Caenorhabditis elegans: one gene and its partner. The protein of the gene in region 2 purifies or fractionates together with the protein of the main gene of each other region. This does not show direct contact. Each region holds a gene or a part of one and is shown on either strand. Other genes may lie near its edges. The genes, in order: mrpl-39 and abu-13.

Region 1 (3,848 bases), on a different chromosome or scaffold from region 2:
CACCGGCACCGGGACCCCAACTGAGGGAGGCAAAGCGGAGCCACTCCCGCAGATCGGAATCCGAGATTTTATGCCAAATACGGATAGTAACTTTGGCCTGCCACGTGGCAAAGGCTGCCTTCCATTTATATCGGAATTCATGCAAATCGCGTATGGAAAATGCCAGGATCAAGCCGACGAGAAGACGTTCGACGCGTGGGGTGAAGAACTTCGACGAGCAATTCTTCACGGAGAAATCGATTTGCTGAAAGCATCCCAGGAGACGTGCCGACGTGGTGCAGAACGGCAACAGTGTGATTCGCTGCGAGAAGCCGTTGCCACGTGTGATGTGATGGCAAGCTTGGAAATCGGAACACAATTGCAGAGAGCCATGAAGAGATGCGAAGAAGTGTCTGGAATGATGGATCAGTCGCCTGCAGCTGTGTTGGGACAGCTGAACAATTTGATTACCGGGGAGGTGGCGCAGGGATTTTTGAATAATTTCTTGAAGAATGGATAATTAGTCTCTGAAAGGGCACTGTGTTAGATTATTTTTTTGTTTTTGTACATACTTAATAAATTATTTAGAGCTTTATAATTTTTGTTCTTTTAATGAACAGAAAAAAGTAACAAAAAAGAAAAACAACAATCAGAAACTAGCTATAAAAAACTATTGAATTTCAATTCTCATGCATTTTTACTAAATTTCTGCACTGCATTCTTGGCGACGAGGCTCCAGGAGTATGATGAAGTCGGCTGTTTCATGGGAATCGACACTCCGCCGACGATCACACTCTTGCCAGATGATTTTGATCGGAAAATCGTGAAGCGGCCGATTTGACGAGTCGAATTGATGCATGGGCCATCTGTGGAGAACACTTGGCGACCGATTCGTACTAGATGATCGCCGTGGATTCCTGATGCTTCTGCTACACTCGTTGGCACTGCGATCACCTCGAATTGCTTCTCTTCGCGGATGTACGATTTACCGAATCGATTTATCGTGTTAAGTTCGTCCTGAAAATCAATTTTAAAAATTTTAATTAATTTTATTTCAAAAAAAAAAACTGCTCACCAAGGTGAAAACGTTCCCATTCAATCCCTTCACATCCACCGAAAAATATCCATTTTCAATATTTCCACGTGGGAATCTGAAATCCACGTCCACGTCCAGAGCTTCTTTCAGGAATGCAGCAGTAACTAGCGAACAAGATCTCCAGTAGGCATCATTCACTAAATTCACGTCCTCAGCAGAATCGAATCCAATTTTTCGAATCTCGGCTTGATCTTGAAGTGGTTGATTGACGCTGCTGAAGTAGGCGCCGCCAACGGATGGATGAACTTCCACGAGTACGGCGTCGTCGGCGAAGTGCTTGGAGATATCTGAAATTGGGGAAAATTAATTATTTATTCATAAAATCTGCTTTCTTACGATTAAAACAGTGAAATGATGTGGACACATTCCGATTCACAAGAACTGGCTGAGCCTTATCCTCAGTTCTCACTGAAACCACGACTTTGTCCACTTTTTTCAAGTCCCCGTACACTTGATGGCGAATGTGATCGAAGAACTCGGAGGAAAGAGTCGCTGCTGGAACGGAAGCCGGGACAGCGTCTGAAAATAATATTTTATAAGCATTTTTTATCGTTTTTTTCTTTGTTATAAATATTATTTTCAAGAAATTTGGGGTATTTAATGCAACTCACAGCCTCCATAATTATTGAACACCGTTTAAATTTTCTCTTTTTCAGCTTTTTATCAATTTTTTCGCAAATTCAAACGAAAAATATCATTTAAAAGCATCAAACGATCAGAAAGTGGGTAAAATCAACGATTTCTGTCAAGAAACAGCTTTTCCTCACAAAATTACATGTTTTACGAAACAGAAATCGCAAAACTGGCGGTTCAGATACATTTTCGATGTGTAGGATGCTTCTCAACAATTTTATACATTTAATAATTAAAAATTATTTCTATAGAAGCTAGAAAAAAAGCCTGAATAACTTTTCTCATACTTTCGGCCGATGCCACAGCAGTTGATGCGCTCCGGATTGCCAGCAGGCTTCTGACAGGTAGTTTCATGTTTTATTGACCTGAAAAATATGTTTTTTTAAGTGATTTAAAGCAAAAAACCATTAAAAAAAGAAATCAGAAAAATAAAAATAAAATCACCGGAAACCAAAGTGTGTGCGCAGATTGCGAAAACGCGTGCCGCGCCTTGCATGTGGGCGGAGTCGGGTATTTGCCAACACATTGACGATTTTTCTACGATTTTTCTACCGAATTTGTGCTTTTTTGACCGAAATGTTCAATTTTTAAGTCAATTTAACGTATTTTTTGCGTTTCAGAACGAAAACTTGATTAAACCAACCGGATCTGACATGATAATCGCCCGGAAAAAGCTGCAACTACAGAGATTATGGAGGCAAAGGTGAGGTTTTGTTTTTCTCTACTTTAAAATTAATAAATTTTGTTTCAGAGGATGCCGAGTGGCTACGTATATTTGCCTGGGAGTTTTAGTTTTATTTGGATTTGTCTACAATAGCAAGGGAAATGTAGGTTTTTTTGGAGTGCGCCTAATGGGGAAATTGCTGTAAAACATGCCTCTGGGGTCACAATGACCAAAAAAAATTCAAAAAAAGTCTCTAAATTTTATATGATTTTTTGAAAATTGGAAAAATCTCAATTTTCCCCCTAATAATTCCTATTTGAATTTCCGCCAATTGGATTCGTTCTATGGAGCGTGCTTGCATTATTTTAATTAATTAATTTCATTTTTTATCATTATTTCACTGATTTTCTTCATTATTTGTGTATTTTTATTGGAAAAAGTGAGAAAAATGCAAGATACATGCAAATTTTTCATTAAAAGTCACTGTAAATGCGTAAAACTGTGAAATATGATAATTTCAGGTTCAGTTTTACCCATTTTCAGTGATTTTTAATGAAAATATGCATTTCTGTCTCTTTTTCCGATAAAAATACACAAATAATAAAGAAAATCAGTGAAATAATGAGAAAAAATAAAATAAATTAATACAAATAATGGCGGAAATTCAAATAGGAATTAAGTGGAAAACTGAGATTTTTCCAATTTTCAAAAAATCATATAAAATCTAGAAAATTTTTTTGAATTTTTTTACTATGATATTCGGTTATTGTGACCCCATAGGCGTGTTTTAAAGCAATTTTCCCACTGAGCGTAGTCCACATTTCAGGGAATAGAAACAAAACTCAAAAACAAAATGAATTTCAGAGCATGTCATCTATCAAATCGGACAGTGCCGCTCAACAATTTGATGATTTAGACGATCTCACAAATAAGGAGCTCCCCGGTGGTCCTGATCCTAATACAATCTTCCGTGGCTCAGAACTAGGAAACTACGAGCCAAAAGAGCCGGAAATCCCATCAAATCAGCCCGGAGAGCACGGAAAACCTGTGCCAGTAACCGATGAAGAAGGAATGGCGGCAGGAAGAGCAGCGGAGAAGGAGTTCGGCTTCAATACCTACGTCTCCGATATGATCTCGATGAATCGAACTATTCCGGATATCAGGCCGGAAGAGTGCAAGCATTGGGATTATCCAGAAAAGCTGCCGACTGTTTCAGTGGTTGTTGTGTTCCACAATGAGGGATGGACTCCGTTGCTCCGAACTGTGCATTCGGTGCTGCTCAGATCCCCGCCAGAGTTGATCGAGCAGGTTGTGATGGTTGACGATGATTCTGACAAGCGTAAGTTTGCAGGAGGACCCCTGACTTTGAATTTCTAGTTAAAAAAAAAGATTTACGAGAATTTTCTCCAGTTGCGGCAGTTTTTTGCTAAAATTTTTCTGGACTCTGCTCTGTGGGGAAATTGCTTTAAAACATGC
Region 2 (6,621 bases):
AGGATATGGTAAAAGATTTCAATTCGAGAAATACTCGTGTACTCGTCACCACTGATCTTATGGCACGTGGTATGAATATTCGTGTGAGTGCAAAACATCGAAATATTGTAATAAAGAATTTAAAAATAGTATAATAGCTATTCAGTTTAATAAATTATTTGAAAAGGAAGTCCATTGAAAAGTTATTCTGAACAGTATCAATAAAAAAAAAAATTTTGAATTCCACTTTCAATAAATCATTTTGCGTCTGGAAAATCACCTTCTTGGTAAATTGGATCAAGTTGAAAAATCATGAATGTGAATTCAATTAAAAAATGAATTTTAGAAATCACTCATTATCAACTACGATGTATCTGGAAATATGGAGAACTACATGTTACGAAATGGAAGACAAGGAAATTTTGGTTCGAAAGGACTTCCCATCAGTTTTTTCACAGAAAACGATATTAGTGATCTCAAGAAAATTGAAAATCACTATTCGACTCGAATCGAAGAGATGCCAGAATCATTCCTTGAATATCTCGATGAAAACTGATATTTTCCCAAGTTCAGAGAATTACTGAACCTGAGAATTTCTAGAAAGCCTCTGTCAATTTTCAGACATTTTCTTTTCCAATTTTTCTTCAAAAACGCTTTTTGCACAGTTTGCTTTCAATGCTAAAAAAATTGTTTTAAACCGACAAAAATATAAATAAATTATTTATTATTTTTATTGCACACCAAAATTCCAAAAATAAATAAATTTCAAATTAGGCGCCTATTTACACAATAATCTTTCCAATTTTACTTCTCACATTTACAGAGTTACAGCTCCAGACTCTAGGCGCTGCTTCACAATTCTGATTACTTGTCTGCACTTTTCAGCTCCACTCTCAGCTTGACGAGCTTCTTGAATAGTAATTCTTGCTGGAACAAGCTTGAAATGATAAGAAGAGTCGACGAATTGGCACGCGTATTTCAGAAGGTTAACACATGAGATACGCTCTTGAATAAGTCCTGCACGGCATTCTCCCTCTTCGCTGAAAAAGTTAATACTTCTTTTAAAATATTTTCAGTTTAAAATTGGGCTAAACATTTCGAGATTTCTAGATTTTTCAAAGCAACATATGTTCTGAAAACCAACCTGTTTGTCAAACTAATCTTTTGCAAAAGTGTGTCAACCTTGTCCCAGTGAGAAGCCGATGATTTTCTCTCACATTCCAAAAGTCGTTGCTCGACGAGCTCGGCGAGTTCTCTATCCTTTCCTCCCTTTTGTAGATATGATGGGAACTTCTTTTGGAATCTAACTCCGATTCCGTTGAGTCCCTTGCGACATTCTGTAAAGAAAATAGTGGGGCTTTTGCACTGAAAACTTTGAAAACTTACGCTTCACATCATAATCCGCAGAGAACCACAAATGACGGTCAACATTGGCATCCACCTGAAGTATTAAACATTTAAAATATTTACGGAAAATTTAAAGCAACTTTATCTAATTTGGAAATTACAGAACTTTTGGGCTTCTTTAAAATTAGAGAATTTAGAGCTGATATTTGCCAAGTTCAGTAACATAACTGTCTAAATAAAAATACTTCAATCCAATAACTTTCGCAAATGTAAAACTACACTGCAAAGCTGACAATGTTTTAATGACACTAAAGATAACCAAACCAAAAATCAAGGAACTTTAATTGAAAACAATAAATTAACCTTACCTCAGCATCAAGAGAAGCCTTTTCAGCATGAGCTGGCTTTGGTTGTTCAATTCCATTAGCTTTGTTAAATTCTGTGGCCTTCTTGGCAGATGAATCGGTATCAACTACGGCGGTGGCAACTGCGCTGGCCTGAAAAATATCATACTTGTGAGTTTCATAAGAAAACAAAAAGCTTACAGCTGGCCGAATGACTGGCTGAACAAGTTGAGCATTAGCTTGAACAGCTCTCACTGGTTGCACGATTTGGGTATGTGACTCGAAAGATTGCACTGGCTGTTGGCCGGAACGTTGTGGCTGTGGTGGACGAATTGGAGTTGGTTGAGGTTGCTGGACAGGTTGCTGAGGCTGTTGAACTTGTTGTTGGACTTGTTGCTGTGGTTGTTGAGCACCTTGCGGTTGCTGATTGTAGTTGTTATTATTATTGTAATTGTTATTGTTGTAGTTATTATTATTATTATTGTAGAACTGTTGCTGCTGATTGTTGTTATTGTTGTAGTTGTTGTTGTATCCGTTGAACTGCTGTTGTTGCTGAAATTAAAATTTTTTAGACTTTTTTTTTCAAAATCTCTCCTGTACATTTTTAACGTAAAAGTAAAATTGGAACTAATAAGACTTAAAAAATTTTTCAGATTCTTCAAAACTAAAGTTTTGGTAAAGTGCCAAATTTACGGACTAATTAGGATTTTTTTTTTAATTTAGAGCAATGTCGCATAAATGTTTTATAATTAGAATATGAAATTCATTCAAGAAACCTTTTTTTGTGTTAACTTCCAAAATTATGTGTAGCGAAAACTTAGTAAACGTCATTAAATTCCAATGGAAAAAATCCAAAAAATTTCCAAAACATAGAAATCGAAAAAAATCAATTGAAATTTGCCAAAAACTGATAAACTATAACTATAGTTAAAGAAACTCGAACATGGTATCCTAGGGTATGTCAACTACTGCTATATCTCGTATTCATCACTACAACTACAAAATTAGTTGTTTACTTCTTCCTACAACATTCTATTCATTTTATTCATCAATGTATATCTGTTTTCCTTTCTGTCGGTTTTTTTTCTACATTTATCCAGTTCAATTATCCTGTCTTCTTCACTTCCAGGACGTGTTTTGTGGATCATGATGAGACACCGATGCTAACGGCATTTGCCAGCATAATATCACACCAAAAACCAATTTCACTGGACACCTTATCAGATCGCGGATGGAATAACATCACTATTATTTCAATAAACATGGATGATCTTGTTTTTTGTTTTGGAATTTTGAAAATTATTGCAATTGTCATAACTTGCTTTTAAAATAGTCTGATTCGAAAAATGGCATGAGGCAATTCAAGGATGTGGGCATCCTTTTTAATATTATATTGTAAGGAAATTTAATTTTTCAGGGCGTTACCAATTAAAAATTTGGACAATCATATCAAGTGAATGGGCCTTTGACTTTTCACCTGAGCAATAATATTCAGGAAAGCATTAAGGTTTCAGAGTTACAGAGCAAAGTCTCAGATGCAGTTGATGCCGTTTGCCACATCAATTGACAAACAGCATCAAAATGGTATAAAAAGGGTTATATGTCAAAACGGATGTCACACATCCCACTCTATATATATTTTTTTTAACCAGTAGAAGAACATTTTTGCAAGTGACCGAAACCTGAAACGGTTTAAATTGCTTACCTGATTGTAGTATCCGTTATTATTATTATTATTGTTATAATATTGATTTCCTTGTTGCTGTTGTTGTGGATATCCATAATATTGTTGGAAGTTGTTCTGTTGTTGGTATCCTTGTTGTGGAACAAATGCGTATGGGCTGAAACAAAATATGTTAAATTTCATGAAGACCTTTTAATCTATACAGTTGTCGGCATTTGGTTAATTAAAACTTCTCAAATAAGTTGCCAAATAAAAAAAAGGTGTGCACAACTATAGTTATAATTATAATTAGAAATACAGTAGATGTTTCTGTTCGTTTTCAGGTAGCATACTGGTTTGTACTGCTTTTCTACAGAAACCAGATGTTTTGAATATTTTGAAGATAACGCTAAAAACTGGGCATTTTAAATGTTGAAATGAACAAACAAGTATAAATGAACTAACAAGTGAAATGAACTAACAAGTAAAATTGAAATGAACTAACAAGTATATTATGAGTTGTGAAACCTGAAACTAATTTCCACTCATAGTACAATAATAGCCTAGAATGGGAAATCTCGCTTTTGGAAATGAAGTTTTTTTATTTGAAATAATAGTAAAAACTATTTTGTTGATCGGTAAAAGATCAAACTGAACAATTTCCAATTTTCCATTTCTTATGCGCAACTCGCTTACGAATGTCATTTCAATCACAAACCTTGGTGGAACAAATGGAGCTGGAGTACTTGGTGGTGGGAAGACCAATGGTGGATGAGTTGGGAATGTGAATGGAGCATGAGTTGGAAGGGTAAATGGAGCCAATGTTGGATGGCTTGGAAGAGTGAATGGAGCAACTGTTGGAAGAGTTGGGAAGGTGAATGGAGCTGGTGTGACAGCAGCTTGTGGTGCTACTGGAACAGCATTTGGAAGCTGTGGCGCGGCAACTGCTGGTGGCTTCTGATCAGCGGTTTGCACAAAAAGTGGGGCTCCCTGAGCTTGAGCAGCGACACCAACTGGCTCACCACCTAGCTGAGCTGGTAGGTCAAAAATAGTGTTTTGAAAGGTGTTCTGCGCTAGAGCCACAGAGGGCAGAAGAGCTATCAGGAGCCACATCACTGGAATTTTGAAATCGAAGAAGAACTGAGATTTGAGGTTCAGCTTCTTCTTTTTCTTGCGATTCTGGAGAAAAGAATAGAAGATCTGGATGTTTTAGAGACGCAGAGAACTGGTGCGGAACGGGTTTTTAGCTTTGTCATCCGAAAATAGTATGAATAGACGAAGAGCGTCAGACATGAGATCGTTTATGTTCCATGTCCAGAACCATCAACACCGCCTCCTTCTTCACCCATCGTTTTCCCTACAACCACGATTTTTATCTTTTCTTTTCTTTTCTTTTGTAAGCAACAAGAGAGAGAAAAGAGGAAAATCCGTGCGTACGGATTGCCTTAGAAATTGAAACAGCGAGAAGTTTGACAGGGTGGTGACATCTGATGAACGATTTATGGGATTGTACTTTATTTTTTATCGAACGGGAATTAGTTGTCAGGGGAGGCATTCAAATGTGACAGTATTTCAGATAATCCACAATTCAAAGTTAAACTATTACACAGATACGAAATTTTGCCGATTCACAGTACCCTGTCTCGACACGCCCAAATATGTTTTAATTTAAAAAAAATGGAGTACTCAAAACAGAGCATATGTCATCCAAATATTATATTCCCAGATGAATAATTTTGAGAATGTGGCCACAAAAATACGGTAACCAAGAAGCAAAATTGAAATATAATAAAACGTTCACAGGAAAAATTACAATTTCTTAAAAACGGATATTTTTCAACATTTTCGAAGTACATGCGCATGTTTTTTGTATGATTGTGATTTGGTCAACTGCTATAAAGTTATAAAATTTATGGTGCACATTTTTTTTATAACTTTCGACACATTTCATGGATCGGTGCTCATTTTCTCACAGCTGCAGCTGTCGATCCTCCATTCTGCTGTACACTAAACAACACGCGCCTCGGAATTTCGGAGTGTCGTTTACAAACTAGAATTAAAACGGAACGGATCTTGGCACGGCGCCAATCTTTCAATATTTTTAACTGTTTCTTCACATAGTTTTATTTGATCTTTAAAAAATGCGCTTCACAAAAATTAGCGCGAGTTTTAAGTTTTCAAACTTTTTAATTCGTTTTTTCCTCATTTTTCGCCCCATTCGTTGTTGAAAATGCATTCAACTTCAGGGTTGGCCCCCGTTTTTCGTGTGGAGGAAAATCATATGATTCGGAATCGAGAGAATTTGGAGAGACCTATCTCCAAAAAAGGTGAGTATTTTTTAAGCTAATATAAAAATATGTAATTTGTTCTTCAAGAAACGATTTATGATTTTTTTTAATGAAGGGAAATTATTTATTGAAGCTGTTTTATAAATTTCACAATGTTGTTGAAATCTTTGAAAAATTTGCAGGCACCATCACGCTTTTGTCGAAAATGCCGATGGGATTCGTGTTGAATAGTTGCTCTTGTGCTTATATCGACAATCTTCTTGCTCATAGCAGTATTCATCGTGTGAAACCTCACTCGTTCATGATTCAGGTAGGATAATCGAATGAAAACTAAAATTTTGGGAGGAAAAAGCTATTTTTCAGCGTCTCGTAGTCATTTGTGGTCGTTCATCACCATCATTGCCAAATCATGCAGCCAATATCATTCTCTCTGCATTCAATTTCTGTCAAATCGAAGCACCGGCGAAAAAGTTTCTTGAAGAAGACGCTGCCCTTAGTCTTTTTCACACTGTAAGCGCTTTTTTTTTGGAGTTTTGAAGCTTTCTTTACATAGTGTTTATTCAAAAATATTTCGTTTCTAGATACTCTCCTATTCGACAGTTACACAAATTAATCGAAGCGGAATAGAGATTCTTGGAGCTCAACGTCTCACTTCGGCTCTCTGTGATTTGATTTATGCATACACGAAGACCATGGATGATATGGTTGCCAGCAAGACATTGACCCATTTGTGCAAGAAAGTGAGTTTTTATTTTTAAATTTTCAAAATTTCCTACTAAAGCTATCCCCTTGAAAATAATATAAACTCCATTTTCTGGGAAGTTGAAACTTTATTCAACCCAAGATAAACGTTAAAATTCGACTCGACAAAAGTAAATTTATAAGCATCTAGGTTCCAAAAATACTTTAGCCTTTCAAAAACTTTCTATAATTTTTATAATTTTCTGTTCAAGTTAGAAAAAAATTTTTAAACCATATTTAATTTATTTTTATTTTTCAA

Evidence for each region.
Region 1: the proteins of abu-13 (region 2) and mrpl-39 fractionate together in Caenorhabditis elegans (co-fractionation; one large-scale study listed by BioGRID). This does not show direct contact.

Annotation. Positions count from the first base shown.
Region 1 is NC_003283.11:1,819,804-1,823,651, reverse strand, and holds mrpl-39 (Mitochondrial Ribosomal Protein, Large), read right to left. Parts: upstream 2,074-3,848; 5' UTR 2,063-2,073; coding exon 1,996-2,062; intron 1,596-1,995; exon of another isoform or gene 1,595-1,595; coding exon 1,412-1,594; intron 1,363-1,411; coding exon 1,055-1,362; intron 997-1,054; coding exon 667-996; 3' UTR 557-666; downstream 1-556. Other genes in the region: Y32G9B.1 (DUF148 domain-containing protein), read left to right, coding at 1-499; gly-7 (putative N-acetylgalactosaminyltransferase 7), read left to right, coding at 2,362-2,411, 2,460-2,535, 3,237-3,711.
Region 2 is NC_003281.10:6,941,202-6,947,822, forward strand, and holds abu-13 (Activated in Blocked Unfolded protein response), read right to left. Parts: upstream 4,698-6,621; 5' UTR 4,447-4,697; coding exon 4,052-4,446; intron 3,512-4,051; coding exon 3,376-3,511; intron 3,342-3,375; exon of another isoform or gene 3,192-3,341; intron 2,223-3,191; coding exon 1,872-2,222; intron 1,824-1,871; coding exon 1,695-1,823; intron 1,421-1,694; coding exon 1,366-1,420; intron 1,317-1,365; coding exon 1,124-1,316; intron 1,020-1,123; coding exon 797-1,019; 3' UTR 687-796; downstream 1-686. Other genes in the region: F57B9.3 (RNA helicase), read left to right, coding at 1-83, 326-535; CCR4-NOT transcription complex subunit let-711, read left to right, coding at 5,564-5,660, 5,804-5,931, 5,985-6,131, 6,203-6,361.